7 linked regions of the Zea mays genome follow. The main gene of each other region encodes a partner of the protein of the gene in region 5 in a complex. Links are inferred from orthologs where the notes say so. Each region holds a gene or a part of one and is shown on either strand. Other genes may lie near its edges.

Evidence for each region.
Region 1: Mediator of RNA polymerase II transcription subunit 31 (region 5) and Mediator of RNA polymerase II transcription subunit 32-like share a complex: the UniProt entries of both Arabidopsis thaliana proteins name them as parts of the mediator complex. The link is inferred for Zea mays from reciprocal best matches to the Arabidopsis thaliana genes MED31 and MED32.
Region 2: Mediator of RNA polymerase II transcription subunit 31 (region 5) and uncharacterized protein LOC100276155 share a complex: the UniProt entries of both Arabidopsis thaliana proteins name them as parts of the mediator complex. The link is inferred for Zea mays from reciprocal best matches to the Arabidopsis thaliana genes MED31 and MED9.
Region 3: Mediator of RNA polymerase II transcription subunit 31 (region 5) and Mediator of RNA polymerase II transcription subunit 28-like share a complex: the UniProt entries of both Arabidopsis thaliana proteins name them as parts of the mediator complex. The link is inferred for Zea mays from reciprocal best matches to the Arabidopsis thaliana genes MED31 and AT3G52860.
Region 4: Mediator of RNA polymerase II transcription subunit 31 (region 5) and Mediator of RNA polymerase II transcription subunit 33A share a complex: the UniProt entries of both Arabidopsis thaliana proteins name them as parts of the mediator complex. The link is inferred for Zea mays from reciprocal best matches to the Arabidopsis thaliana genes MED31 and RFR1.
Region 6: Mediator of RNA polymerase II transcription subunit 31 (region 5) and Probable mediator of RNA polymerase II transcription subunit 19b share a complex: the UniProt entries of both Arabidopsis thaliana proteins name them as parts of the mediator complex. The link is inferred for Zea mays from reciprocal best matches to the Arabidopsis thaliana genes MED31 and AT5G19480.
Region 7: Mediator of RNA polymerase II transcription subunit 31 (region 5) and Mediator of RNA polymerase II transcription subunit 13-like share a complex: the UniProt entries of both Arabidopsis thaliana proteins name them as parts of the mediator complex. The link is inferred for Zea mays from reciprocal best matches to the Arabidopsis thaliana genes MED31 and GCT.

Annotation. Positions count from the first base shown.
Region 1 is NC_050101.1:142,577,782-142,582,591, forward strand, and holds Mediator of RNA polymerase II transcription subunit 32-like, read right to left. Parts: upstream 3,148-4,810; 5' UTR 3,029-3,147; coding exon 2,585-3,028; intron 1,342-2,584; 3' UTR 1,129-1,341; downstream 1-1,128. UniProt on the Arabidopsis thaliana protein: Component of the Mediator complex, a coactivator involved in the regulated transcription of nearly all RNA polymerase II-dependent genes.
Region 2 is NC_050097.1:1,837,145-1,842,023, forward strand, and holds the start of uncharacterized protein LOC100276155, read right to left. Parts: upstream 3,185-4,879; 5' UTR 3,020-3,184; intron 2,869-3,019; 5' UTR 2,834-2,868; coding exon 2,573-2,833; intron 1,940-2,572; coding exon 1,877-1,939; intron 1,402-1,876; coding exon 1,321-1,401; intron 8-1,320; coding exon 1-7. UniProt on the Arabidopsis thaliana protein: Component of the Mediator complex, a coactivator involved in the regulated transcription of nearly all RNA polymerase II-dependent genes.
Region 3 is NC_050103.1:84,916,021-84,920,573, forward strand, and holds Mediator of RNA polymerase II transcription subunit 28-like, read right to left. Parts: upstream 2,785-4,553; 5' UTR 2,639-2,784; coding exon 2,449-2,638; intron 2,015-2,448; coding exon 1,902-2,014; intron 1,137-1,901; coding exon 1,002-1,136; 3' UTR 817-1,001; downstream 1-816. UniProt on the Arabidopsis thaliana protein: Component of the Mediator complex, a coactivator involved in the regulated transcription of nearly all RNA polymerase II-dependent genes.
Region 4 is NC_050097.1:165,233,785-165,238,671, forward strand, and holds the start of Mediator of RNA polymerase II transcription subunit 33A, read right to left. Parts: upstream 3,322-4,887; 5' UTR 3,174-3,321; coding exon 2,854-3,173; intron 2,222-2,853; coding exon 2,111-2,221; intron 1,374-2,110; coding exon 1,029-1,373; intron 331-1,028; coding exon 20-330; intron 1-19. UniProt on the Arabidopsis thaliana protein: Component of the Mediator complex, a coactivator involved in the regulated transcription of nearly all RNA polymerase II-dependent genes.
Region 5 is NC_050096.1:207,962,187-207,966,294, reverse strand, and holds the start of Mediator of RNA polymerase II transcription subunit 31, read right to left. Parts: upstream 2,801-4,108; 5' UTR 2,726-2,800; intron 2,603-2,725; 5' UTR 2,571-2,602; coding exon 2,441-2,570; intron 1,963-2,440; coding exon 1,866-1,962; intron 1,790-1,865; coding exon 1,711-1,789; intron 1-1,710. UniProt on the Arabidopsis thaliana protein: Component of the Mediator complex, a coactivator involved in the regulated transcription of nearly all RNA polymerase II-dependent genes.
Region 6 is NC_050096.1:177,740,002-177,744,403, forward strand, and holds part of Probable mediator of RNA polymerase II transcription subunit 19b, read left to right. Parts: coding exon 1-3; intron 4-1,100; coding exon 1,101-1,387; intron 1,388-1,473; coding exon 1,474-1,668; intron 1,669-1,760; coding exon 1,761-1,820; intron 1,821-1,914; coding exon of another isoform or gene 1,915-1,959; exon of another isoform or gene 1,960-2,200; intron 2,201-3,312; exon of another isoform or gene 3,313-4,402. UniProt on the Arabidopsis thaliana protein: Component of the Mediator complex, a coactivator involved in the regulated transcription of nearly all RNA polymerase II-dependent genes.
Region 7 is NC_050104.1:30,394,617-30,397,730, reverse strand, and holds the end of Mediator of RNA polymerase II transcription subunit 13-like, read right to left. Parts: coding exon 2,125-3,114; exon of another isoform or gene 2,045-2,124; coding exon 1,655-2,044; exon of another isoform or gene 1,647-1,654; intron 1,560-1,646; coding exon 931-1,559; 3' UTR 830-930; downstream 1-829. Other genes in the region: glycine--tRNA ligase, chloroplastic/mitochondrial 2, read left to right, coding at 1-37, 178-259, 338-423, 500-598. UniProt on the Arabidopsis thaliana protein: Component of the Mediator complex, a coactivator involved in the regulated transcription of nearly all RNA polymerase II-dependent genes.

The sequences.
Region 1 (4,810 bases), on a different chromosome or scaffold from region 5:
GATATTTATTTAAATATAATTATTGTTTATTTCCGTGTTTTGCTACGATTGTTGTATATCATATAAATAAGTATTGAGATATTTATTCAAATATAATTATTGTTTATTTCTAAACATTAAGGTAAGTGTGGTTTGATTGTTAGCCCTGAATTTCCGAAGCAAGGAAGTGTGGGTTCGAGTGCTCGGTTTGCACTATTTTTTGCACGGTGTGGTAGCTGCACGGGCGGGGTCAAGTACTGGGTAGGCACATTAGCTGCGCGGCATGCGTGGGGCGGACCCAGAGTGTCAGCGCGGAGGAGTGAAGTCATGGTAACAACAGGTGCCCACATTAAGTTCTTAATAGAGTATTATATATTTCATGGCATTTATTTCAATTTAACTTTGCTATGACTGGATATGCAGAGGCATGTCTCTTTTGTAACAAGAGAAAAATGCAATAGTGCTTACAGGACTATGCTAGAGAGATGTAAGTAGGTTCTAATCTCAAGAACTGATTTAAGAGTTTGTGTTCCCTGATTTTGTGTGCACAGCAGCACAAGGCCTGCAAATGTAGATTTAAGATCTCGTACACCAAGTATAACTTAACTATGCTCTTAGGTTATTAGTTTATTGTGTTTAAAGTTCAGAAGTTCCAGGTCTTAATATATTCTTAAATTAATCGACCAGATACTCAGATCCTTTTCTCACATGATACGGAGTAGTATCATTCAGCATGTTACATTTATCAAAGTCCGGTATACTTATGGAGCTAATATTTTATCTAGCTCTATTTTCTGAATTTGGCATTGGTTACAACCTTTAAAGTTTCTGTACAGATTATCTCATTTCAGCTCTATTTTTTAGGTACACTGCTTATATTGAGTCAGTGGCCAAATTTTAACAATCAGTTGTGGTCTTAATCCATGTTACTGTTGTTGGTATGATAATGCACTTTGCTCACCATATCATCTATGTTTTTGGTATGATAATGCGTTAACGCGTCTTAATCCATGTTGGATGTAAACGCATGTTTTTTCTGCTAATGCTTCCTCTGTCCCAAATTATAAAACATTTTGGCATTTCTAGGTTCATAGCTTTTGCGTATCTATACATAATATATTTCTAGGTGTGTAGCAAAAACTATTGATCTAGAAAAGCCAAAAAATCTTATAATTAGAAATGGAGGGAGTAGTTCATAGTCCTCAGCCAATTCTCTTGAGTGCAGCCATCAAATTGTGAAATTGTACTTTGTCTACAGATCCTATAATATCGATACAAACAGATTATGACATCTCCACATTTCTGCTTACTTCCAATAGTTTATCAGCATACTGTCATGTAGCATAGTCAAATCTTTTTTTTCTGCACATAATAGATTAACATACATTTGAGATACAGTGATGGGCATATCTGGTTTCTTGGTAACCATCTTACTAAATTACTGTTCAATTCAGTTCGTGCTTTTGTGAAAATGACTAGTGAATATACTCTGAGAACAATGAAAACCAGTACTGCTTTGTTAACTCAAATATCATGAATCTGTAGGGACCATAGCAGTGGTGAATAAAACTTTGGATCTATAGAACGATAAAGGAACTAAGGTGCTGTTTGGTTTATATGTTTGTAATGTAATAGGTAACAAATAACGTTAAATCATGTTTGTTTAAGTCCAACTGTAATTGGATACCACACTACAAATTGATACCAGCCTATTCAAACTTGTTACCCCTGGTAATCGAATGCAAATCATTACCGTTACCATTTACGTTACATTTTAGGAACCAAACGGCACCTAATTTAAGTCGTGAGTTCGAAGCTCATCCCTTTCCTAGACCCCACTCGTGTGAGAGCCTCCAGCACTGGATCAGCCCTTTTTTAGTTTTTTTGTCTATCTCAAACCAGGGATCCCAAGTTCCCAACCTTATCTCTTCACTCAACAAAAGAGTTGACTCAAAATCAAAAACTGCAACAACCAATCCCCATACACTGGCTGGTCCAAACAGGTACAGACTTAAAACTGGCGCAGCATTATACCCCCAGGTTTTTTTTTTCTGGTCATCATGTAATTAGATCTATATACCTCTCATGCTTTGTCACGACACTATAATTTTTTTTTATGGAGAGCAGCATTTTAGCAATCTGTGTAAAGATTGGGCAATAACCAATGGGCATAAAGACATTAATGCTGAGTAGTAGTATATCTCAAAATGGAAAGGTAAAAACAACAGCCAGCAAATCGCAATGATTTAGGTGCTGTTTGGTTCAAAAAATGTAACGCAAATGGTAATGGTAATAGTTTACGCTCGATTACTGGCGGTAACAAATTTGAATAGGCTGGTATCAAATTTTAGTACGGTATCTGATTACGGTTGGACTATAACAAACATGATTTAACGTTATCCATTACCCATTACGTTACAAATATATGAACCAAACGGCACCTTAGTTCATGTTCTTGCAAATATCAACACGCAAGGTTAATGCTGTCACTCATAGAAACACAGCAACGACAAGTTCTTTGTTTTCTATTGAAGGAAAAATGCTACAATTTTCATATGAGAAGGGCGATGCTACTAGTTTAATTCAGTAACTCCATAGTCCATACCTACTGGGCACCCTCCTCCGGGTGTTGCCCTCCAGCGCCGGCATTTGGGGTAGCGGCACCGCCACTGCCGCCGGTCCCTTGAGCAGAGGCGCCGTGCTGGAGCTCGATGACGAGCCATCGGACGGCCTTGCTCATCTGCTCGAGGCGGACGGCGCTGATGGGCTTGATGCCGGGGGCGGCAACGGATCCGGCGGAGGCGGACCCCGTGGCCTCGTCGACGAGGCACTCGGAGCCGATGCGCTGGCGGATGGACTCGACGAGCTCTTCGGCGTGGTCGCAGGCGACGCGGAAGATCTCCCAGCGCTGCTTGAAGGCCTCGAGCGCGGCGTCCGTGGCCGCCGTCTTCTTCTCGCCGCCCGACTGTACGCGGGCCTCCACCACAGCCGCCGCCGCCGCCATGAAGTCGTCGTACGCCGCGCTCAGGTGGTCCACAGTCGCCTCCATCCCTCCCTCACCCCCAGCTTCTGACGATCCAATTCGGCCTCAGCCCCCAATTCGACACGACGACCCCGAAACCGAAAGCAAAGCGTGAAAACAGGAAATGCCGAAATGGCCCAATCGATATCGGGTCGAGATCAGGATGGGCCTTTTTATTCGACATACGCATCTGGACCAGGGCTAGAGATTGTAGGCATGGATTTTTTTCTAAAAAAATAATATTGTTTTCCCAGACCGTATAGTAAATAAATTCTAAAAATTACATTATTGGACGCGTGTTGTTGGGAAGCTCGCGATCAATCGTGCGGACAGAACGTAGGAAGTGGCGGATCCAGAGCTACTATACGTGGTCTTTTTTTTACAAGACTCTCGTTTATCCTAATTGTTTTAGAATTAGAATCATCTTTCTTCTGGTTCTTGATGAAAAATTTATCCATCCTATTCTTATAAGCATGGGATTACTACCAAATAAATAATCAAATCAAAATTTCAAATCAAACTTAAAGCAAACAATAGCACATGTTTCACCTTCACTGCTTGTCTGCTTCACAGATCACAGCTTCACCTTCGTTGCTTCTGCTTCGCAGTTCGCATGGGACGTCCTATTCCTGCATGATCTGTCACAGATTAGCAGAAACTCTCTTGGCCTCCTATTCCTTCATCGTCCCAAACTCCCAACAGAACAAGGAACCCCCAACAGAAAGCTTGGAGGGGCATTGGCACACGCCGCACACCGCGCATGGCATTATGGCAAGGCCATACATCACTGGCTGTCTGGCTCATCACTCCAATGCAAGAACAAGCTAATAGCTAAGCACACTTTCTTCTCAGCGCGTGTGTACAAACCTGAGCTCCACGAATTAGCAGAAGGAGGGAGCGCGGAGTGGCGGCTGGACAGCGGCGTGGTCAAGGCGGTGCTCCGGGCGGGGCTAGCGGCGGTGTTCCGGCGGTCCGGCCTCCGGGCGAGCGACGCTGCGGGTTGCAGCGGTGCTCCGGGCGTCGGGGCGTGGGCGGTTGGAGGCCTGAAGCTCGTGGGTAGAGGGAGGAGGAGCGACCTACGACTGGGAGGCTGTTCACGCGGTCGCGCGGCTGGAGCTGATGGGCTTATTCGCTGATTTTTGGGCCGCGACCGGGCTGCAGCCCAGGCAGCCCCAGCCTCGGTTGGAGATCCGCCACTGAATGTAGGAAGAGCTGAGTGGTGTGTTGGCTTACTGCTACGATTGTCCCTATTGATTGTGACTCTGATTAGATAGTTCTAGACATGTCATCTGGCTTGACATGTAACCAAATGGGTGTGTTATTATCAGTGAATCACTCTATTAATACACAATACGTAGTATATTAAACGTTACCGTACATTGAAAGCAATTGTTGGGGGTAAGCCTTTGCAGGAGGTCCTTAATTAAAATCAACTAATCTTAACCACTTTATCATTTATTCCGAGAGCAACCAATTCATGTTTGCCGAAGGTCGCTAATGCAGGTTAAAAGAGGAACAGAAGAAGCTTTGGCTTAAGCGTGCAGATAAAGCATGTCGCCAAACTCGAAGCGAATGACAAGAAAACGAACAAAGGACTCACCGATGTGTGCACCAAGGCTTTGGAAGACAAAAACGATGATTCCCCAGGCAAATTTTGTGGTTACTTGTATATGGTTTGAGAGCATGATTATAACTTCATATGAAGTTGTACATCGAATCGTCACTATAAATATAGACACAATGTCATACACAGGACACGTTGCCGGATCGAAATCGCTCCGCCTTCAAAGCTTTATTACTTTTCTACCT
Region 2 (4,879 bases), on a different chromosome or scaffold from region 5:
CAACCGTCTGTTGGTAACAAATACAGCAATTACCATGAGTACTGAAACTTCAAGCATCAATAACTGGTTCTGGTTCTTACATGTTTAAGACAGGACTACAATTACGTTGCAACTCAACATACATCTAGTTTTTGGGTGAGATTCATAATGCATATGCACATTTGTTACATATAATGCATTAATCCAAAACAAATTACAAAAGAAAAGGTCAACACATTAATACACATTGTTGACTAACTTATTTAAAATGGTCATCAACAGCAATCATGCTATAAAAACATGTTTCCAATATTTAATGTATTGCAGCTGGTACTGGGTAAACCAGGCAATCACCAATGGTGCTGATCGAGCAATATTCCACCAATTTCTTTGAAATTCACAAAATAACCAGCACCATACAACATATAAAATTAGCAATATTAGGTCTATTAAAATGGTTCTAAATATTGTAGATCGTAATGACAGCACTGACACCGGTATCAACTGGAAAACTAGGGCTTTTTAAGGAAGGCAGCTCATGCCGGTCTCCACTAAACCGACAGTCCCTACTGGCTAGTAACATCAGTTATTACGTACTAGTAACCCAGCAGTAAAAACTGCCAAAACTAGCCAAACTTTAGACACTCTTAACAACTAATAATTGTGAATTAGAAAACAAAACAATGGCTCAGTAAGTCAGTGGTAAGGCACTAAGGCCGCTCGGTGCGACCGTGCGAGCGCTACTACCCGAGTTTGATCCCTGACTGGGGCGACTCAGGTGTCACACGGGATTTTCATCAGAGGGGACTAAGCCTCTATGTGTGTGAGTTGCTCAGTAGGCACGTTCCAAGACTGCTTGGGCAGCCTCATCCGTGTTTGAGCATGAGGACAACATGTGTGCACCGTGCACATTTGAGTTCTTATATGATATGCTAGTGCTTCTGGCAACAACAAAGCCTTTTAGCTCCAATCAAGTTGGGGCAGTCCCAAAGAAAGCCTTTTAGTCCCATGCCTTCTATATAATATGGCAATGCTCCTGTTGATGTTTAAATAAATGTGAATTAACTTTTTAAAAGGATTTGCCTAGAGACATGAATATTTATAGACATTTTATGAGACAACACAAAAACCTGCAACAGATCTACTATACCCCGTCTTATTATCCATTTCTGGAAAAAATTCTTAATTCTTGTGCAATTGAAAATTTTATTGGATACCAAAACAAAGTAATTGAGATTCATTAGCCAGAATAGTTCAATTTAACTTAGTAATTATTATCAAATTCAGAAGACCACTAAGAATAAAGCATATGAGTCAGGAAAGAGAAGTAACAGAACTTACAGTAGACTTTGAGCTTATTGTTCCCGATATGGAGTTCAACAATTGTTGGCACCTAGCAAACTGGCTGGTCAATTCTTCAACCTAGATATATATAAAAAGCTTCTCTTAATACAGTAGCTATTGGAATTAGGATTTAGCAAAACGCTGGGAAAAATATGGTGTTTAGCTGGTATTCTATAAGAAATCAGCATGGAAGTACACAATACATAGTAGTAATTTTAACATGCTTCTGCAATTGCATAATTGCATAACTAAGGGTATGTCTTCCACTGGCTTGGTTTTGGCTATGGAAAACTGAACCGTGCAGACCCTGTCACCCTGGGCTGGTCCCAAGCTTCCTGTGCACCACCAACACTAGAGCATTGTTTGTGACCTGTCTCTTCTCTGGGAAGTGATTTAAGAATTACATCACATGTCAATTCAAACTCTGTATAAGAATATTCAGGCTCCACGCCTAGAAGAAGCTACAACTATTGTTTCTGACAAGATCATGCACTATGAGTACAAGAACATTGATCCATAAAACAAATGAAAATTAGTAAATGGTGATTCTTACCAGTGCATCGAAATTTTGGTCCCTTGTTCCTGTACCAATAGCATCGGCTAATCTTGTAACCAACTAACAGAGAACAAAATTATGCAAAGAAGAAAACTATCAGTATTTCACAATACATTCTAGTACTTTCTCAAAGAGTAAAAGGAAGAAGAGCCATCATAAAAGTGGAAACAAAGATTTGCTACTTGCAAAAAAGCCATTGGAAATAAGCCTAAATGTTAGATGCCAATACAGACATGTGATTGCCAGCTTAAGAAAACCTACAATACCTAAAGTGCCCTCATATATATTTTTAATTTATGTATTTCTTGTCAAACCAACTCGAGTGATTAGAATCAACATTTTCTCTGGCCATTACCAATGTTGCACGCTCTGACGCTTGTATATCGTTCATGTACACCTATAATATGGCAATCTTCACTACCGGCCAAAGTGACAAATCATGGTGTGAAGAAATTGCAATCGCTGAGCAACAAATACAGGACAAATTAATGACAATCTTTAATGACTAGCAAAATCCCAAGTTCAGAATTTTGAAATTCCGGTGCACAAAGGGCACACTCCAACAACATCAATGACATCACTACAAAAAGAAGGGTTCATTTGAGGGTATGTATCATCTATGCTATCTTAAACTAAGAGCAAAGGCCCCCAAAACACAAAACTCCACACAACTCCAAACACTCCGTTACTTACATGTAGGAGGTGGAAGTGGGAGGCAAGAGAGGCGTGGTGATGCTGCTGCGGCTGCGGTGGAGACATCAGTGTCTGCTGCGGCTGTGGAGACATCAGTGCTGGCTGTGGCTGCGGTGGAGACATAAGCGCCGGCTGTTGCTGCGGCTGCGGCTGATGGTACTGAAGAGCGTGGAGGTGGTGGTCGGGCTGCGGGGACGTCATGAGCCCACGGTAAGGATCGCCGTACTGCTGCTGCTGCTGCTGCGGGTGGTGGTGATCCATCTCTATCCCCAGTTCCCAACACCTGCGGGCAGGGGCTATTGGAAAAATCGAAGTTATTAGTAATTTAGTAGGCATAATAATACATGCATATACTTGCAATTACTCCTGAATCAGATCCGATTCTTAAGCTAGGTTTTGAGTGCTCGGTTTCGCAAAGCAGATAGGGGAGAGGAGGGACGGGCATACCTAGTGGGTGCTCGTCGCCGGTGAAATGGGCACGACGAAGGTCTGGGCACCGGCACCTGACGGCGGCGGCGGTAGCCTAGTGCTCGCCGGGAAATAGGGACCACGCGGGGCGTGAACTGTGAACGGCGGCCAGTCCGGTACTGTTTGGCCGACGGGGGCGCTAATCTCGGAGTACGGTGGCTGTGTCCAGCTGATATGGCCGTCTAAAGAACTGTTGTTGTACGATAGTCATACCTTTGTTTGTAGCGTTGGAGTTGAAATAGTGGATAGATATTAGATACGAGAGGAGATAGATAGTGTTTTTTAACCTTATTCATCTATAGATGGCTAAATAGATTGTCTGTCCAGCATTAATGGTGTTATTAGACACTATTAGTAAATGTGTCGTGATGTGTTAGTACTATTGTCTAGACACGGCACTATAGTGTCTAATCATGTCATGCCGACACTAACATCTAGTAGGGTTCGTGTTAGCCCACTTTAAAAGCTCAAAATATATAGATGATTTTTAAGGTTATATATAATTTTAAAACTTGAATATGTGTACTATTATAAAGTGGGTTGACTCTTCTGAGGCTCCCTTTTGGTAGGATTTTTGCATCACCGGCTTTCCTTCTGGCTCATCTGAAAAAAATAGTTTGATCCTTATTTTTAGTAACCCTTGGAGAACACTCTATTTAGTTAAAACACAACTACTCCTATTTTCATGGGAGGGTGAGTGACAAGAGAGAGTCGAGTCAGAGAAGCCTCCTTTTTAGGCTCTGGGCTTTCCTCGGTTTTTAGGGACATCTCCTTCCTATTTTTATGGAGAAGCCACGAGAGGAGCCCACCATTTGGTAGCCTTTTTGAAGAAGCTGTTGAGGGGCCATTAAAAGAGCTCTACCAAATAGAACTCTACTATGTAAATTGTCATGTACCTAGGAACAGGGTAACCAAAAGTAAGCCCACAACCTCCTTCCGGCCCATTAGCCGACCAACCCTCTGCCAAGCAAGCCTACGAGGCGGAGCGGACGACCAAGTCCTCCGTCGAGCAAGTTTGCAAGATGGAGCGAACGACCAATTCCTCGTCGAGAGGCAGAGCGGCTGACCAACTCATCGACGAGCAACCTCGCAAAGCAGAGCAGCCGACCAACTCCCCACTGAGCAACCCTTTGAGGAGGAGCGGTCGACCAACTCCAAATTGGGCAACCATACGAGGCGGAGGTCCCAACCTAACGCTATTAACCCGTGATGGCTACGACAAGACGCGTCATCATCAACCCACGTCCGGACATATGTGCAACGTACCGAAGGGGCGCCAGGAGGTCACTATCGACACGACTGAACGCCACCACGTACGCTCTAAGGCGTATCCCCACTGCCATGTGGGGTCAGTCAACCCAGTCATAGAAAAAACCTCAGCACTGGAGCCTCTACAGTGACCCGTATACCGGGGAAGGCAGCACAATGCGCCATACAAAGTATATGCCTACACACACTAGGTGACGCGTGATCGTTATGAGGGCAAAATTCTTACATGAGGGCAAGTTTACATGAGGGCAAAATTCTGCAATTGGTATCAATTGACAAAATTCTTTATGAGGGCAAGTATTATTTACTTCCTACATGCTTTTAATATCTTCTTTTTTCGGTGGTTGATACCAAAGGGGGAGAAGTTTAGGGACCAAAGCAATGAACAATGTATCAAACATCAAACACCACCAATTTAAAATTTTAAAATCTACAAGTGGCTTTTCAAGTGGTTTTGGTTATTTGGTCCAAAAATAGGAAGTAAGTGAATTATGGAGTTAGGGGAGGCTTAAGTCCATAATCTCACATTGAGGGGACAAACATGCATCCTAGCAAGTAGATTGCATACTT
Region 3 (4,553 bases), on a different chromosome or scaffold from region 5:
TTAGATGGATAACCACACACGTGATAAAAATAATCGTCCGAGTCAATCTGATTGCGGAGTGCGGACCGTCTGGGCCTTCAGGCCGAACCGCCCGCCACTTTTGGCGTTCGACACGGGCTTGCCCGATTCGATTGGGATGAGTGAATTGGCCCCGAATCTTACCAGTATATTCCTCGGAGGAACCTCTCTTGGTTTCTAAACCAAACTACTGTAAAAATGTGATGGAATGGAACAGTTCCATCTCGGTTATTTCTACGCCACATAGATTAGATGTGATTGAAAAAAAATAGAGATTTTAACTTACTATAAATTTAAACTCATCCAATTATCTCCAATCCATATGAATTGTGATGACAAGGATTATGTCCTTAGGTCTTGTTCATTTTATAGCAAAATCATATGGATTAAGGTGTATTGAAATGGATTGAGAAAGATTTTGACTAGTAGTGGATTACTGAACAACCTGGCAGTGCACCTTTAGGAACGGAGATAAAACACAAAGTGTTTTTTTTCGCTTGCTCGTGTATTCAACGTAGCAACTGTGCCACTTGGCTCGGCTTTTTGTCAGGAGAAGGTTCTGTTCGAGCTGATCCAGGCACAAATGGAGTAAAGATAGAAAGGAACTTGCGAACATGGCGGCCATCCAGAGTAGGCACATAACCCGCTAGGCTGACTCCAACAGTTCACCCAAAGTTTACCCATAAATTCACCCAAAGTTTACCCATAAAGACAGGAAGCCGTTAGCATTCTATGTCGTTTTATGATGGCAGAGACTCATTTTGCACAACAACAGAGACCATGGGGCAAGTAAAGGTACACAATCAAACATAGATAAAGTGGGCTTTGTTCGTGGCTTCCAACCTTAAGAAACCAACAAAAGGCGATTGCTAACCATGGCGTCAGATTCTAAGCACATGTACACAGTTTTATAGGGCATAACATAACATTTGGTCACCTAGAGGTTCATGATCACTACAAGGTAAACCGCAGAATCGCACTCCTCACACCCTTTCAAGCTCCGTGATGTGCTTGCTCAGCTGCTCCTTCAGTTCCTTTTGCCACCCTTCAATCAACTTCTTGTGCTTGGCAATGAGCTCAGACTTGCTCTTCAACTCTTCCTCCATTGTCGTAATCTCCTGTGCAATGCAAAACCGAACATGCCAACGAGATGATAAATATTGGGTGGGTATATGTATCCCAAATTCCTAATTAAGACCAGCAACTATGCACCTGTGATTCTCTCAACTACTGCAAAGGCATTTTTTTACAGAAACGTGTGCATGAAAAATTCATGAGCACAGAAGGTGTTAGGTGTATGAATGTGATTGGGTGTTCCTTGGGAACATTACTTTGTAGAAGTGACGATTCAGGCAGGCTACCAGTTCTTTCAATAATGAACACCTCAACTTCGAGTAGAAATATAGGAGTCTTTGTAATAAAGCTTATACTGAGTGTAACAAACTGCCTGTAGCAAGTAGCACTATGTGATTTATAAAGTTGGCTATTCCTAAGTATAGTGCCAACCACAAATGATCACAGTACTTGGGATGATCATATCATGTGAAATGTCAATCCTATCACCAATGAAAACTTTTAAGGGAGTGTTTGGTTTGAGGAGTCACTCAATCCAAAATGATGTGGTGTATAATGAGTCCATTCCTCAAATTTGCTGGGATGACCTTATTTCTCATATTAGTACTAACTAACTATAAGGAATGACTCCATTCCTTATTTCATTCCACAAATCAAATAAAAAAAGAGAAGTGAGAAGACGATGGACTAGCTCATTCCTCAAACCAAACACTTTATAATTAATTCATTCTCCATAACCAGTCCCCAATTTAATTTAACTACTATCCTTGCCGCACTCTTAACTATACGAGGATAAAGTAGAAATATACCTTTCGAAGCATCTCTTCTGCAGATGGCGGTTCCTCACGCTGCAGGCTGATGAAATAAGACTGGAGCTTCTTGGCAGCCTCCATGAAATCCCTTGCGTGCCTCTCAACATCAACTGCCCAATTTAGTAGAGACTACAACACTTAGATACCCTGTTTGGCAGGAACGAATGAGAAAATGCAATTAAATTTCTCTAATAAGCATTGCACACTATTAAGTCGGTATCTAAAAATGTGATTTACTTCTTTAATAAGCATTGCAATGTGATTGCCTGATTGGTACAGTTGATACAAGTTGAGTTCTCAGTCTAGGACCTAAGAAACCAATCGATATACAATTTCCTGGGCACAAGAAAGATGCAAAATCTTCCTCTAGAAAGAGCAAGATCCCTTTATCCATCCCGTAGGCAAAACAACGAACATGTGGCGCGCGACGGCGCCATTAACCGACCGAACACCATGAGACTTTACTGGTGTCGAAGCCGTGCCGGATCAAAGTGAAGCTACCTCTAGAGGAGGAGAGTGGGGAAATGATGGGGGTCGGCCGTACTCTGGTGGGAGGACTGGAGGGAGCGGTCGACGGCCTGGAGCTCGCGCGCGGGGAGGCACGGCAGCAGCGCGGCCTCCAGCGCCGCCACACACGCCAGCATGTCCTCGAGCCCACCCGCCGCGGGAGTCTGCTGCGTCGGCGGCGGGGGCGGCGTCTGCGCTGGCGACTGCGACGGCGTCGGCTCAGCCATGACGGAGAATGCGGAGAGAGGACCCGGAGAGATTGGGAGCGCTTGGGCCTCCGATTTGCTATTGACAAGGAGGAACTTTCCGTTGGATTGAAGACGCACGGCTAGGATTGGTTTACAAATGGCGTGTTCTGCGCCTGGATAGGCATAGGCTCGAGGGCTGAGGCTGCCTTGGCTGAAGGAAAGCGCATAGTTTGTTCAGGCTGACAATTTTCTGAAATATTTTTTCTTTTTTATAATAGCACACTTCTTCATATTTTGGTGCCTAAAATTTAGGCAACACTCTTATATACCACTGATTGCTAATAAAGGACCATTTGGATCCTTTTATTTTCAAAGAATTGGAATTTACTCCCTCCAGTCTTCAAATATTTGATGTTTTGGACATGACCTCATATACCAAGGAGCTATTAAATAGGGTTGTTATTTTCCATAATACCCCTAATAAATACGCTTAGATTCCACAACAAACACATGAAGATGTTAGCCTAGATGGTTGGGTCCTAAAGAATTTTACACTAGGTCGTGAGATCAAACCTTCACGATAAGAATAATTAAGCATATGTGGAAGAATGTGTGAACCACTTATATCAAGGGTATATTAGTCCAAAATAAGCTTCAAATGCTTCAACATCAAGCATTTGCTAGTCCAAAATAAGCTTCAAATGCTTCAACATCAAGTATTTGCATCCAAAGTGAAAATCACTTAAACATCAAGTATTTAAAGACTGGAGGGAGTATTTAATAGAGTAGGTTATTTGATTTGAATTTGATATTACACCACTTTCCAAAGTTTAGATATAAACTCATCTCAAATTCATAAGATGGGGTGGAAATTGATTTTATGTATTCAATTCTACGTTTCTACTCTGTAATTTATAACACACTCTTCTACTCACTCTCCTATAGTAGAAATGTAACATATAAATATCTCTCAAATATGGCCAACACTAATATACAAATATACTCACTATAAAACCATATTAGTTTAATTGATTTATGTCTAAATTACAATTATTATATTAGAATTCAATTCCAAGGGTCCAAAGGGGGTCTAAGACTATAATTTTATTGTTTACCTTTATGTTATAACCTATATTTTTTCCCTTAGCTAACTACTAAAATAATTGCAAAATGTTAATGGTCTTTATGTCAACACAAATCAAAATCTACCAAATTTATGATTTTGTTCAATAGATATTTTATTCTTAAGAGTAAAAATGTAGATTATGTCTATATAAATTACAACACACTAAAAACTAAAATTCAGGTACCTAAAATTTAGTAAATCACTTAAGGGCTTATTGAGAAGTAAGAAATTTTAACCCCTCGATCCCCTCCAATCCTGTTTCTCCCAAACAAGCCCTAATAGTTGTAACACCCTAATTTTTGGTTAGGACATGGAACTAAATACCATACCTCATTCCTTGTGAAGTTGTTGAGGTCCTCTTGCATTGCCACCACTCAGTCCGGATCTCTTAGTGCATCCTCTATCCTGTATGGCTCAATAGAAGACACAAAAGAGTAATGTTCACAAAAATGAGCAACTCGAGATCGAGTGGTTACCCCCTTGTGAATGTCACCAAGTATGGAGTTGACAGGGTGATCTCTTTGAATTGCTTGGTGGACTCTTAGGTGCGGTGGTCTTTGGTTTTGAATTTCTTGATCATCTTCCTTGTCTTGATCATCTTCATCTCCCCCTTGATCAATGTCCTCCTCTTGAGGTGGCTCATCGTCTTGATCTTCATCCTCTTCTTCTTGAGCCATTTCCTCATATTGAGTTGGTGGAGATGCTTGTATGGAAGATGATGGTTGACCTTGTGCTTATGGAGGCTCTTTGGATTCTTTTGGACACACATCCCTAATGGGCATGTTCCTTAGGGTGACACATAGAGCCTCTTCATCATTTAATTCATCA
Region 4 (4,887 bases), on a different chromosome or scaffold from region 5:
TATTGATGAATGACATTACCACTTAAAATCTCAATAGAATTTGTTGCAGCAATTGAACAATCGAGACAATCCTCAAGATACATATCAATAGGAATCCATAGTGCAGAATAGCTAGCACCAAGACATCGTCCATTTGGTGAAGATAGAGGGTTAGAAGCCACTATTTGGTGGAATCTTTTATGCACATTATGTTTAGTTTCACCATATGCATCACAATCACCTAGAATCAAATGCTGAAATGGTTCCAAGGATATTGCTGAATTTTGCAAGGTAGATGAGTTTGTTGCAAGCAAGTGCAACCGGTTAGTAAATGCCCCCCAGTGAGATTGCCTGAAACCATTGAGATTGTTGACAATGTTACTAAATAAAAGGGGCAATAATTTGCATAAAATAGGAATTGCATGTATATGCCATTGTTGCATCTTCAGTGAGAGTATCCCTTCAACATCACTTCATTTATTTATATGAACAGAAAATGACTACTAGGTTTCAATCACGAACTTCCAGTAAACTACTGTTACTTGATGTTTACATTCACCCATCAGTTCATCAGATCATGACAAAGCTCGAGTCCCATGGCTGCCGTTTTTATCAAAACTTTTCTTGGCTATTTAAGAGGTAAGGCGAATAAAATACCACAAGCATAGACAGTTGTACTTTTTTCCTTTTGCATAACCCTAAGTGCTTCTAGAACATTATCTTAAATGTTTGCATTAGAGAAAATACACAGAATATTCTATGATACATTGGTTATGTTACTGGCAAAATCTTGAGCAATTATTTGTAGCTCCCCAAACCCAAATCCCACACAAACAGGAATAAACCAAGGCTTCCTCCATAAGCTTGAGTGAAGTTTATGAGGTCATGAGCCTATGAGATGAAGATCTAGTTTGTTATTTGACTAATATATTTGAAAACAGATTACTAATGACCAATCAGCAAAAAGATGAATTCATCATTTCCAAATGCTCAAAAATAAAGACCTGAAACAATTCAGTAAAAGAGTACTTCAAGTTGAAAAGACATACATGTTTTCGCGTGCCAATGATAGGATACGAGTAATTACTTTATCGCGAAGAAGATGCTCAATGAGCTCCATAGTTGTTACAGTGTTCATCTTCTGTAACTTTTTGATCTTCTCAGTTCTTTGTTCAGTAAAAGTTCCTTCAAATGTGCTCACATCTTCAGGCCTTGTTGGCCATTGAGCATTCTTCTCTGGAGTTAACTCTAGTAGGCCCTCATCATCCAGAACAACATCAATCAACTGCCATATAATACAAAGAATGAAATGCACAACAAAAACCCCTGGTTCACATGTAGAGATGCCAAATATCTTGGAAAGTCTAAGATTCCGCTCTATTATATCCATGATCCTGCAAACATTAGAGAGGCTTTAGCAAGGATCTCTTATTGCTCCAGCAAATTTAACACTGCAAGACAGGCCCTTTTTTCAATTGCATTTGAGACTTCTATAGGGATAGAGTGCATGAATAGATAACAGTGCAAGGAACAAGCTTAAAAACCACATGGAAGCACATACACTCTTACTTCCAAAAAACAATTTAAAGTTATAGAGCAATAACAGTGCAAAGTATTAGGAAGTGAAGAACATAAGTAATGTATAAAAGATATATAAGAAAATTTCCAGAAGAATTTCGGCAATAAATGCCGCCTTGACAAATTCAAGAGAAGTTGCATGCATTACTGCAAGACAAGTAGACTTTCCATCATATAAAAGTTGGGGCCCTTAGTTGGAAATGACAGATATGACCACTAATCCACTACAGAGACATCGCACAACAAGGTGTATATACATGTGTAAACCTTATTACAATTACAAACACCTGAAACTGAAATGCTTATTTTAAGGCCATTAAGATATGACCACTAATCCACTACAGAGACATCACACAACAAGGTGTATATACAAGTGTAAACCTTATTACAATTACAAACACCTGAAACTGAAATGCTTATTTTTAAGGCCATTAAGAATAATGCTAAATTACATTGAACACTACACCTATTACTCTGATTCTCATTCCAGACCACTGACTTGAGCATAGTGTTAAGAAAATACAGGGAGCAGTCAGAGAGGGGAAAGGCACACTTTCTGAAATTTGCTGCTTTCATCTGATGATGGAAGTTGAACCCATGTCTTTTCAAGAGCTCAAGGTAGAGTCTATACTCCATTGGCCTGGAAAGCCGGTGAGGAATTACCCTGCAGGACCCGAAGAACAAACGAAGTCCATAAGAATAAACATTGAGAAAAGTCCTAACTCCATCATAAGGTCACACACCACACAATCCAAGCACGTTGCACGACAGCAATACCAGCCAGTGAAATAATTAGTACTAAGTGGGATTTGCCACACGCTAATCTAACTACTTTTCCAGTCCCAAAACATAGGTCAAACTAACCGTGTTGGCTATTACAAGACCCTGTTTCTCTTGAAAAAAAAAACTGGACGAGGATTGCAGTGAAGCCCTGATTAGCCTACCGACTGAGTGTCCAACTGCTTATATATTCTTAAAACAGGCATTTCTCCCATGGTGTGATCTACCCACATTGTCATTTGGCAATGCATTGACACATGACACTGCCACACAGCGTATTTCCGCCCCCTCAAATTATCGGGGCGAAGCACGTCAGCTTCCTGGTAAAACTCGTGTACGGGCAAACACCTGACCGGACACGTCGTAAAACTGCTTGCGTGCATTCGAGGTGCAACTGATTCGATTTAGATCCCCGACAGCTAAGCGCTGCATTCCGCCATTCCGATCCTACCAACCGCCACGGACCACGCCACAGACACAACGCACAAGCCGACGCCACGAAGCACCGGACCGCACCTGGTGGAGAGGAGCGCGAGGAGGAGCGCCGGGGACGCAAGCCGCGCCGCGAGCGCGGCCTCCGCGTACTTCCAAGCGGCGGCCGCCGGGGCAGCCCCGCCACCGCCGCCGCCGCCGCCGGGGAACAGCGCTCGCGCCAGCACCTCCGCGAGCCCCGCGGACCAGGGCACGTCCTCACTCTCGCCCGCCGCCGCAGCGGCCGCCGCCACCCGCGCCGCCCACTCCGGCGGCGGGCGGGCCTCGGCCTGCGCCGCCTTGGTATACTCCGCGGCCCACTCCAGCCACGGCGCGGAGGACGGTGGCGGCGCCGACGTGGCCATGGCCGCGCGTGTTCCCCCCCGCCCGTCAGTGGCGGTGGGTGCTCCTGCCGCCGCGTGGAGTGCCGTGCCGGTGAGGAGAGAGAGAGAGAGAGGCTGCTGGAGTGGTGTCTGCTGCAGCCCTGCAGGTGCTGTGCTGCTGGGTTGGTTTGGTGGTGGTCCGATCGCCGATGATGCTGATGGCGTCCCGTTGGTGTAACCACCTCTCCCCCCAGTCCCCCACCGCACCACCTCGCGGTGGGGCCGCCGCTTCAGGATCTTCTGCGTGACCGAGCTTTCCAACCAAGAGAAAATGGAGTCGCCAGGCTACCACTGGCCGCAGCGGATCCTGGAGGTACGTGTGGTCCCACACCAAGTGGCGTGGTGGTGCCATTGCCGTGATCCAGCCCCCACCCGTTGACACGTGGTCCCGGCGCCCTTGACTTCGTCGCTCGCGGTTTGGAAAAAAGCTGCTGCTGCAGCCCGCGCGCGGCGGGCCCCGCCGACCGACCGTCCGTCCGGCAGCCCAACTCGCGGCGCGGTGGCCACGCCGGCCGTCGTCCTGTTCGGATTGGCTGGGTACTGTGGCGATGCGTCAGGCTCGGCCCTCGGAGTTGGGCCGTTGAGTTCACGCTCACCTACTACGGCGTCAGTGAGTGAGTGGGAACTGACAGTGACACAGCCTGACCACTTCACCTGCAGATATGGTACTACTTTTTTCTGTCTCGCTCTCCGCCAAACAAATCTCTCTCTCTTTTTAGTACTAGTAGGAGAAGACGGTAGGTATGCGTGTGTTCCGAATTTTTTGCATTTTGGTCCTTCATCGGAAAAAAAATCACATTTAGACCCTAGAAAATTTTAATGTCATTTTTGACCATTTACTCGGCGCCGTAGCCTGTGGCGCCGAGGTAACACAGCTCGGCGCCATAGGCTATGGCGCCGAGGTACGTGCTGCGTTGGCACAAACGAATGTCGTGGGGCCGACGTGGTACCGAGCTCGGCGCCATAGATCATGGCGCCGAGCTCTGTTCTGTATAGAAAATTTGTCTAGCTTAATTGGTAAAATACAAGACTCTTAACCTTGTGGTCGCGGGTTCGAGCCCCATGGTGGGTGGTTTTTAATATTTTTTGTCTTTGTCACTTATTTGTTTTTTTTGTCCATATTTTTCGTTTATGTCGCTGATTTGTTTGTCCTGATTTATTTCTCATCCAGTTTTATTTTTGTGACTGATTTATTTATTCGTCCAAATTTTTTTATCCAGCGAGCACAGCAGCTGTGTGCCACAGTGCTCATAAGCCGTCAACTTCTCCCCTTGTTTGCTCAGCTAACCACAATAAAAATCAAATGAGAACACTCTTACTTCAATCGTGATCAAATAAAAATATTATATTTTTATTAAGTTCTTTTGAACATAAATTTTAAATACATAATAACATATTCCCAGTAAAAAGAAGCACACATAATCATCTTTTTTTCTTCTGCACTAAATAAAAGTATACTCCATTATATACTTGTCTCATGGATGATATATTTTAGAATTTACTGCATATACAGCTGTTGTGCTCGCCGGATAAAAAAAAGCTGGACGAATAAACAAATCAGTCACAAAAATAAAACTAGATGAGAAATAAATCAAGACGGATAAATCAGCGACATAAACGAAAAATATGGACAACAAAAAAAGTGACTAAGACAAAAAGTATTAAAAAAACACCCACCGTGGGGCTCAAACCCACA
Region 5 (4,108 bases):
CCTGCAGCTTGGTTGGTTTGGCCTGGCCGCCAGGACACTAACGCAGCTGGGCACAAGGTTCCGGACCAGGTAACTAGCCGGTGCAAATAATGCAAGTGGCCAAGTGGCGGCTCCCTCAGCCTACTTGCAGTTGCAAACAAGAGTGGGCTGAGGGCTACTGCTGGGCACCATAGCCAGATCCAACTAATGGCTGTTGCTCCCTGTATGTGCATGCATGCATGGTTGAAACATTGGTCATAGTCCAAAATGATATTTTAGTCATAGTTCAAAACTCTAAAATTCTGCTGGGAGTCATGCATGGTTCAAACCTAGTTATCATGAATGGCTTAACACTTTTTAGAATTTTGGTTATGATCTGCGATGCACAAAGTATTAATAATGCAATTTTGTATTTTAACTATTTATACTTCCAGATATTCCTCGACATACTTCCAAGCATAGACGTGTCTATAAGTTATGACTAATCGTGTTTATTTGAAACAAAAAATAACGAAGACCAACAAATTCAAGAAAAATATTGTTATGCAACTAGTGGGTAGACCTACATTACCCATTGGGTCAACAGGTTCTGGCCCTATCAGCCAATTTAAACTTTGAAGCGGCCCTTTGACGTTTGACCTATTGGCCTTACTTTTGTGGGTCAGGTCGACTACCCAATGGGTCGACCCGACCCATTCCCGTTCCTAGCCATGAACCACCCCACAAGAATAAAGAGATATAAAAAGATGAGGATGAATTGCTTCAAGTTCTTTCGCGTGCTGGAAAAATTGAATAAAGTAAAAGAAGAGTACTCAAGGTTCTCTAGTTGTTCAAAAGAATCTAATGATCCTGACTCAATCTATGATAGATTGGCTGTTTCCCCTATGACTTTGTGGACAACTCATGGACAGCCTATTCCCTTATTGATGAATTTGGCCACCAAATTGCTTAGCCAACCAGCCTCATCTATAGCTTTATCCATAGTGTCAAGAGAAATGCCATAACTCAGAGCATGTTGAAGATTTGGTCTTTGTCTGCCAAAAAGAACTGATGCATATAAGACAGGAGAGACAATGATGTGGGATGTGGGAGGAGATTTTTTTATTCACTTGGTGGTATTGGCATCCTTGAAGTGCCTGACCTCTCCCTTGATGGGCCTGAATTGCAAGCTGTGTCTTTTGGTTTGGGTGATCTCCAGCTTAATGTTGTGGATGAGAATGAAACAAGCAAGACAAATGCGGAATAGGAACTTGGTGCGAGCCTGAATTGCAAACCTGAATGCCTTTTATTAATTTCTTAAATTTGAGACTACTGTATTTGAGAATTGAGACCTGCTGTGCTTTAATTAGAACTTAAATAGTTAAGTAGATTGTGGTGTTTCATTGTTAGATTGCTATCCATTTTAATATGCATTATTATCCTTTTATTTAAAAAATAGTAAAATGTATTCATGAATGGGAATTTTTAGGAAATTGCTGTATCTGTGTATCAGTATCCTTGTGATACCGATACATGTATCAGTATACGTGCTGCATAGTTCTACAAAAGTACTCATATCAAGTTTGTGTGACTTTCTGTTTTTTATAGGTTCTAGAAAGCAAGTCAAAATAATATGGCCCAACAGAGCAACTTCAGCTAGGTTTTGAAAGAAGGGATGACACTGCAAGACGGTAAACAAAAGCTAAAAACGGTGCTCAAGTGTGAACGTGTGATTCTAGGCCAAAAGATCACCTTGTTTGTTGGATGTGCCATTGCATTTCGGAAATTGGCATTTTGGAGAAGCTCAAGAAAGAAAAGGCAGTGTGGATACCTGCATCATCAGCAAAAACAATGAGCAAGCCATTTCCTCTGTTGCAGAAAAAACCACTGAATATGGTATCACTCACATTATGTATTTGATATACTCTGGTCGCTGCCAGTATTTTAGATACTTGAGGTACCCGATAAATGCCTCATCCTCGAAATATCTATTCTGCGCTAGATCTATTTGGGAAAAGAAAGAGCATTCAAATCATCCATGCAGTACCAAACATGATGTGCATTGAACAAGAAAGTTCAAGTAAAAAACAAGGAGCCATGAGGCACACAAAATGATGATATCAAGCAACACTACTAACAATATCACAGCCTTAGCTTAGCAATCATATCCTATTGATAAGAAACCGCTCATGAGGCCCATGCAGACGAGACCAGTTTGAATAGGGGAGAATGGGATTTAGGCTAGTACTAAAAATTCCTAAGCACTCCTAGCTCCCTTCTCAAGCAGGGACTTACTGACAAACACACACTTCTACAAAAATTTTCAGTCCGTTGCAATGGATTGCTAGTTACTAGCAGCACAGCCCCTATCAAAATTGGTAACAAACCGGTACAGGAAAACGTTCTATAGATGCGTGCAACATCAGATTAGCTAATCCCAACAAGGTGAGATGAAACAAGAGAATGGAGGACAGTACAGTACAGTGGATGTAGGTAGGGTTGGCGAGGCACTGCACGAACTCCAACTCGAGTAGGAATCGCTGACTCCCATTGTCAGGGTCCTTGTACGGCGGCGGCTTCCCACCCACGCCAGGGTTCTCGACGTCGGACATCGGGGTTCAATCGGTTGAAACCAGGGGCAGATCTATTAAAGGAACAAGGGTGTACATGTGTACACACATTAATCAAATAGTCTGAGGTTAGAGTTTTGAGAACTCGATTTCGCACAGCAGACAGGGAACTAGGGAAGAGAAGAGGGTGGGAATACTTGGCGGGCGCTCTTCGCCGGCAAACAGATCGGAGAAGGTCTCGGCAGTCGGCACCTGGCGTACGGCGGCGGCGGTAGCCGACCCCGAGAGAGAATGACCGGATCTTGGAAAGAGGGAGTATCGACCTGGACTGACGCACTGTCAGCGGTGCGAGCCAGGCGGCGAACGGACGAGAGGAGGTGCCGTGTGCGGTTGGAATTTTTTTACTTTTATTAATCCTTTTTAAAATTATACTACCTCTAGTTTTTTATATATGACGCTCACCAATTCATTTTTGACTTGTTCGACGACAAATAAAAAAATCAAGGGAGTATTATTTCCTAAAAATAATATAGTCACTCTCTCTTCTCTTCTCTGAAGCACTCTCTGCTACGTAAAGCACTGGTTTTTAAGTTTTCACATCGTCTCTGATAAAAAAGAAGTATTTTTTTTTTAATCTAACTCAATCCAAATATCTTCGCGTGTCGTGGATCACGTACGTAGATTTATTTCTCCCCCGTTTCTCGTCTAATAAAATAGAGAGGGGATAAGACTTATTTTGCTATAGTCAAACTAACCCAACTATAAATCCCTCTTGTAGATCTATCTATTATCGATCATCACAAAGCGCCCTACTCGGTAGATATGCTCGCGCTCCATTGTCAACCTCTAGGACATCTGTCGGCGTCTCGAGACCGGGGGGTCCCTAAGCCGACGAGTGAGTGTGCCGCGTGCCCCAGCCCAGATGGGTCGAGCGCGTGGGCGAGCGCGAAGAGGGGAAGCGAGGTGGCCGGAGACGGGCGTGAGAAAGGTGGAAATCCCGCGGCCTTCGTGTTCGTCCCGCGCCCAGGTCGGGTGCGCTTGCAGTAGGGGGTTACAAGCGTCCACGCGGGTGAGGGAAGCGAGCGGCCCCAAGAGAGCGCCTGTCCCGTCCTCGTCCCCGCGCGGCCAACCTTTTCTAAGAAGGCTCTGGTCCTTCCTTTTATAGGCGTAAGGAGAGGATCTATGTGTACAATGGGGGTGTAGCAGAGTGCTACGTGTCTAGCGGGGGAGAGCTAGCGCCCTAAGTACATGCCGATGTGGCAGCCGGAGAGATCTTGGCACCCAGCTGGTGTGGTGTCGTGGCTGTCGGAGGAGCGACGGAGCCTGGCGGAGGGACAGCTGTCGGAGCGGTTGGGTCCTTGCTGACGTTCCCCTGCTTCCGTAAGGGAGCTGAGAGCCGCCGTCGTCACAGGGCTAGCGGGGCGCCATCATTGCCTATCTGGCAGAGCTAGCCAGATGGGACACCGGTCTTGTTCTCTGCGGCCCGAGTCGGCTCAGGGTAGGGTGATGATGGCGCTTCCTGTTGACGTGGCGGGCATGTGCCCTAGGTCGGGCGACGTGGAGGCTCCTCCGAAGCCGGG
Region 6 (4,402 bases), about 30 Mb from region 5:
ATGGTAGGGTTTGACTAAGACTCACATAAATGAATGAAATGCACCACGGTCCACGGGTCCTTAAACTATTTCTGCATTGTCATCTAAGCCCATGAACTCTGAAATTTATCATCCGGATCCTTCAACTTTTCAAGTGGTTCATTTTATGGTCACTCTAGGTCCAACCATGGACTTGAATTTACACTTCAAACGAATCACTTGAAAAGCCGGAGGACCTAGCTGATTACTTTGAGAGTTCATGGACCCAAATGGGAATATGGGGAAGTTTACCCCCCCCCCCCCCCTGTGGTTCATTTCACTCTAAATATTTATTTGGTGGACAAGCAATTTTCAGAGATGAAATTGTTAAAATGGGTGGTTATCTTTTGTTGGGGTCTTATTTCCTGATCACCAGGTGCATATACAACATGGTATATCATAGTTTGCCTCCAAGTTACCATTATCAGTATTATGCCAATCAAGTAGCACTATCTGAAATTTTGATTGTGTGGCTGGTATTATCAACCAGAATGGTTGGTTAATGGTTAGTGCTGGAAAGGAACAAAAATGAATCTGTTTGATGGAAGCAGGTAAGTATTATTTGTGATCCCTATGTTTCCCAGTTCCCCTTATATGCCAATTATTCAGTATGCAAATCTGAAATGCTAAATCCTAATTCATGTGGGCACAAAGCAACAGAGTTATATTAGTATCACAGCTTGCTTGATTATTAGTTATCGTCATTAGTTTGCAAAAAAATTAGTAATAATTATATGCTTGGAATTTTAAATACAAACTTCTGGTGCTGATTCTTTTGCGGTTTTGCCAGTTGAGGCCAGTATGTCTTGTAGTCAGCTGTTTACTACAGTTCTTTTTACAATGGCAAAATTTTAACTGTTTTATTTACTTATTTACAGTTCACAATGCGTTAGTTGGAACTTGGACGGTTAATATTTTGTGTCATAGTGCACAAAGTTGTTTTATGAGCCGCATTACTGCATCTAATGTCTATTGTATGCTAGAATAAATTTTGTATCATAGATATATCAGTGCACCTATCTTTTCTGAAACCTTATTTGTCTGCTATGTGGTTGATTGATAATACGATCTCTGTATTTCAGGACCAAGGGAGCTCACTGGTGCTGTTGATTTGATCAGCCACTACAAACTGCTGCCACACCATGATTTCTTTTGCAAGAAACCTTTGCCGCTGGCAATATCAGATACACATTATCTTCACAATGTTGTGGGAGACACTGAAATTCGCAAAGGAGAAGGAATGGAGTTAGATCAACTTGTTCATAATGCATATCTGAGGGATAAACCTGCTTATATTCAGCCCTTTGATATGGAAACTCTGGGGCAAGCGTTCCAACTTCGAGAAACAGCTCTTGTGGATTTGCCTTCTGTAAGATCCTTTCTAGTATCTCACTTCTCTTATGACATTGTTAGATTTGCTCATTGTACTGTTTATAACATATACCATATCAACAGACTGAAAAAGGTATACCGACTATTTCGGGTAAACCAAAAAGTGAGTCCAAGGACAAAGAGAAGAAGCATAAAAGGCACAAAGACAAAGACAAGGAACACAAGAAGCACAAACATCGGCATAAGGATCGGAGTAAGGACAAAGATAAAGACAAAGACAAGGATAAGAAAAAAGATAAAAGTGGCCATCATGAAAAGGTTAGTCCATTTTCTGTATGGTCAAAAACTCTGAATAGCTTCATTTTAAACCATATATACCTTTGATGGACAATGCTCACCATTTGTATCAGAAGAGGAAGCATGAGGGAACAGAAGATTCAGTAGATGTGCATAAGCACAAGAAGAGTAAGGTAGCACACTGCTATTATTTTCTTGCTGATACAATAGCTTTCATAGAGAAAATTTGCCTCTTTGTTTTTAACATGGATGGTCAACTTACGGCAGCACAAGAGCTCCAAAACCGATGAGATGGGGAATGGAGTTAGTTAACACTTCCTAGCTCTACCTCCAATCCTTGTAATTTGCTGTTAAAACTTAAAAGGAGACAGACGGTCTCTGCTATCAAAACCCTGTGCAGAATAGTGGTACGCTTCTTTACTTCCCTTTTAGATTCAGTTTGCTTTTCGTGTAACTTTTTTAGATTCTGTTATTCCGTGGTATCTGCCTTGGATAGCTTGTCTTATTTGGGTGTTTTTTGTCTGATGATGCAAATCTTTTAGCTAGAGGTTCATTGTTAACTTGTGTCTTTAGGCATGTTTGGTTGAGCTGTGGCTTTTGAAAAAGCACGTGTGAGCTGTTGGTCATGAAAACGCTGGAGTCTGGCATGTGAAAAAGTCAAAACTGTTTGGTTGAACAGGTGTAGCTTCTGGAGAAACTATTGAGAGGACCCCACATGTCATTCATAGTTCCCCCACTCAACTCTCCCTCTCTCACTAATAAGAGGACTATGCTCGATAGCTTCTTCCTTCCAGTTCGTGCACTGGGAGGGGCGTCGAGGGCCATGCCTGGGGAGGAACTGCCAGCCTACGAGCGTCGGCCTTGCAGCCACGGTCGGCGATGGAGTGCTGCATCTGTGAGGAAGTCAGGATGCACTCGCTCACATGTGGCGGAGGCTCCCCTGCCAAAGGCATGGTCGACCGGTCGGGAGAGGAGAGGACGGGTGCGGAGGGAGGCTTGCACCTATTAAGTTCTCTATGTTGGAGGATAGGGGCGGGGAAAGGAGAGGGCGAGGGGTGGCGTGCGCCCGTCGCTGTCGGTGAGGCCTCCTGGTAGAGGCCATGGACGGGGGAGGTGTGCGCCCGCCGACAAGTCCTTCCAGGTGGAGGTTAGGGGTGGGGCAATTAGAGGAGGGCGGTGGGTGGAGGCGCTGTCCTCCGGCTCTCGCTGGTGAGGCCTCCTAGGCAGAGGTCAGGGGTAGGTGGGGGGAGGATAGGGGCGAGGGGATGTGTTCACACCCATCAGTCGTTGTCGTTGAGCCCTCGGGCTGTGGATGACATGCTGTGGTGGTGGAGGATGTCGAGGACGATGACGTGGTGGAGGCCACACTTTCTTTCTCATGGAGAAAGTAATAGAGAAAAACAAATGAAATGGTACACAACATAACCAGTAGCAGGTGGGTAATTTTCATGAAAAGTTGGAATGAAGACGGGTGAAGTATTAGTTGGAATGAAGACGGGTGAAGTACTAGTCAATAACTTCTTTTGTTTGTGAATTTGGGTGAAAACCAACCCCTGGCTTCTTTGGGAAGCCAAAGCAGGTTGAAAAACCCAACCAATTGGGACCTTAAGCCATTTTAAGAGGCGAAATTCCTATTTTCTAACATTAGTCTCATCTGATTTTCAGCTTCATCTCTACAATATCTAAATATGCAATGGCATTGACAGCTACTCAGATTCTATGTGGGGCTAATTTGGTGACCAGAGAAATGGAGGTGATCCATGGGGTGAATAGCAAGGCCCATGGATCCCCTCCATTTCCCTGGTCACCAAACCAGTAGGGTGTGTTTGGTTTCAGGAATGAGGTGGTCCATCTTCTCATTCACTTTTTTATTTGGTTTGTAGAACCCAACCAATTAGGACCTTAAGCCATTTTAAGAGGCGACATTCCTATGAGCTAACATTAGTCTCATCTGATCTTTAGCTCCATCTCTACAATATCTAAATATGCAATGGCATTGACAGCTACTCAGATTCTATGTGGGGCTGATTTGGTGACCAGGGAAATGGAGGGGATCCATGGGGAGGAATCCCCCTTGCTATTCACCCCATGGACCCCCTCCGTTTCCCTGGTCACCAAACCCGGTAGGCTGTGTTTGGTTTCAGGAATGAGGTGGTCCATCTTCTCATTCCTTTTTTTATTTGGTTTGTGGAATATAATGAGTTGATCCATCGCACCCCATTCCTCACAAGCTAATAATTAGTATATACATGTGGAACGAGTTGATTCCACTGAAATTTATTTTATGAATTCATCATGCATCACCTCATGAACCATAGGGTGACTCCACAAACCAAACTCACCATTAATTGAACTGTTCATTAATTAGTTGCTCGTGCGTTACAACACTTTGTATACATTATATAGATAGTCCTTGCTTAAATGAGATAATTATTCGGTCACCATATAGATTCTCAGAATACACCAAAAAGAGACAACCGGGAACCAGGATAGGCTCAACACATGCACCAGCAGTCGGCGCGCCTCCGACGCCTCACACGGATCTAAACACGCGGCGATACGGTTCTGAGGTCGTATCACACGGATTGGGCTGCGTCTTGTGGTGCACCTAGGATTTCACCCTAGAGATATCGTGCAACAGTGTGGCGAGGAAAGAGGCGGAGACAACGAGCAGCGAGGTATGTGGTGTGGGGTGAGACAAGATGAAGTTTTTTCTCTTATTTTTTTCCACGCTCGCGAGATTAGGGATGGTGAT
Region 7 (3,114 bases), on a different chromosome or scaffold from region 5:
GATCATCCGTGGAAAAGAAATTGAGTCTGCTTTGGAGGTACTGTTTTAAACATGTACCATCATAATTCATAAACTGTGATTTCAGTTCAAATTATGGTGAAGTTTTTGACTCGCAACTACCCCATCACCAGTCTTGACTATGCGGTATTTCTCTCCTGCCTCTGATTTTATGTGTAGGTTGACCCACACGTATTTGAGAAAGATGAAGAGAAAGTTTTGTGGAGCGCCTACTTGGAGGTTGCTGATAAGATCCATCCTGGTACATGTTTTTCATATCCATTTTTCATTTCAATTTAAATGTTCATTTGTCTGATTCCTCCAACTACCCATTCTGTAGGTGTTGATATTAAGACCTTTGTGGATGCTTCTCTTATCCTGATACAACCCCTAGAAGATTTCTTCAATAGTGTCTTCGTGATGGCGGTGAGTTTTGTGAGGCCCTTGAAAAACTTAACTTGTGCTGATGAGTGAGAGTGATGATGGTGTATATTATGCGCAGGAAGACGAGAGAGTTCGCAACAACCGGCTAACGTTGCTGAGGAAGATTGAGAGTTTGCCCAAGGGGATTGCGGACCTGTCAGTTTTACCTGGGTTTTAAGCTGCCTATTCCAGCCAGGGGGTGTGAGCAATAGCCGTAGCGGAGAGATGATTTTGATTTTACAAGTATTTCTGATTAAAGGAAAAAAAAACGTCGTCGCAGTAGGGCACGGCAATCCCAGTAAACGCTGTACTTGTAATTCTGATTAATACAGTCAACAAACGGAATCATATCTCAAATCTTGTGTCGACAAACAATACAGACCTAAAAAAAGAGAAAAAGGTTACAGCATCCACCTGTAAGTTATCAGGGTTATTGCAAAATCAGTCTACAAAGCTCGTCAAATGTGCCCTCACATACCTACCTAGCTAGATATTAATTGTACATGACAATTAGTGAGTTGTCTCTCCCTTAGGTTCAGATAGATACTTATCTGCGTAGTGTAGAAGCCGCCGCATCCTTAGGACCATGTCACAGTGAAAGGGCAGTGCTGTGCGCCTTTCTGTGTACACCGGGCTTACTGTCAACCAAGACAGAGAGTGAAGCTCCGCGGCCACAGCTTCCAGCACACTATGCATCTCCATCTCACACTCACGACCTGTTGTCTCCTGACTCAAGTTCCTTGCCTGTTTGCTGCCGCCGCCGCCGCCTCGGCTCATCTTCTCTTGAACAGTCCCACTGCTGCCTCCATAGTGATCGATGATGCTGACTGAGAGAACAGAGGGCTGTTCATCCTTGGTGAGTTGTGCAGAGTCCCTCCTAACAGGTGGGACGGCTTTCGAGACGACATAGCCCATCGCTAAAGGAATCGCAGTCCCTTTGCTGTGCAGTAGATGGGCAAGCGGCGGTGACTCCGATGTGAGGCATGTCGGGAGCTGTAATGTTGCAGGAGAGAGGTATCTCATACTTGGCGAAGGAACTAGAAGGTACGAGTGTGACGCTGACATTGACCCAATGGACTTCACTGGAGTGAAACCTTCCAGGTAACTCCAAGGGCCACTGCTGCCTTGACTCCCTTCGCCTGTAAAAAGTGTTCCAAGTTTAATATCTTTTACCATTGATCTCCTTGAAAAACATTGAAATGAATTTTTAATCTGTGTTGGTCTAGGTGCTTACCAGCTGAAGCAGGTCTGCTCAGTAGATCTGCTTGGCATGTGAGATGCAACGAATGATCTTGGGAAACTGCAACCAAACTGATGCTACGAACTAAGTGCAGTGATCCCCTTGAAGTGTCCATTCCACTTTGTTCCACAAGGATCTGTTTTTTGTTGCCAGATTGTCCAAGTGCACCTTTCATGAAGCTTGATTTTGGATGAGGGCTATACAGAGGGTTTGGTGAGGAAGGCATGTTTCTATCTTGAATTAAGGCCATGTCTTGCTGCTGCTGCTGCTGGAGCGTAGGACCATTTGAACTAGGTGGAATACCCTCAGGTATGGATCGCCGTAACTGCACAGGCCACTTCTTCACTTCATTGCCACCATAAGAGTATATTGCCTTCTGCCATTCTGCGGACAAAACATATTAGATCATCGCGTTAGTCTCGAAACAGAAGGTATCTCAGTTCCTGATAAAAACAAGTGAGTACCTTGGATTTCAAGCTCAAGGAAACCTCCGATACGAGTTATTATGACATCTCGTGGTCTCATATTGCTAGCCTCAGGTGAAGACGACATTATTTGACAGCCTTGCTGTAGAATTTGGATGAAAAGGCTTTGGAGAACTTTAGTGTCTTGGCGGCTACTAATACCACCAAAAGGAAATATTAAGCTGTCCAATAATTCTCCTCTAGCATCTGTCCAAATGCACACTAGCCATCGCCAGTCCTCAGTCCAACCATAACAGCAATGAAGACTTGCTGCACTGTCACTCTCAGATACGTCGAGTAGAGGGCTCACTCCACTATCAGAGTTACTTCCTGAAATTGAGCCATATACCCTGCTGCCAGATGCATCTGCTCCAGATTTTGATGGTTCCATTAAAGCATTAAGATCGGCAGACCCAGGGTCTGCTAGTATGAAAAGTGGCTCAAAGGCATATTTCCTATCATCCTGAGCACATAAATCAGGCAGCTTACTTGGGTCCAGAAGTCCTCCCGAACGAGCAGGCTGCCATGAGTTATCCCATGTTGCCGACCTCATGGATGCATCAAAATCGGTTTCTCGAGAGAGAGTTGGCCCAGACATTCGAGGAACTAAACATTCCTTCCAAAGAGTAGGAGCAGGAGATGTAACATGCATCATTGTGGACTGAGATCTACCCAAATAAGTTGGTGACTGGAACATATCGCTTGTGGAGACAGCCCGTGGGATTCGTCGTGCCTTGTTGTACACTGTGAATGCTATGTCCTTCAAAACAGCAAGCTCCTTGTTTGGCTTATCCATTCTCAGTACAGTTTCAATAGTAACAATCTGCAAGACGAGCTTGGGTATACTGAACCCGGATAGCATAACGACATTTGATGCTGATGCTTCATCTACAGAAGCACTGCTGTTTAGGGCTTTGGCAACCTGTGAATATAGTAACTTTCTTTCCCTTTCCGGGGATGAAATAACATACCCAAGAGCAACAGAACATT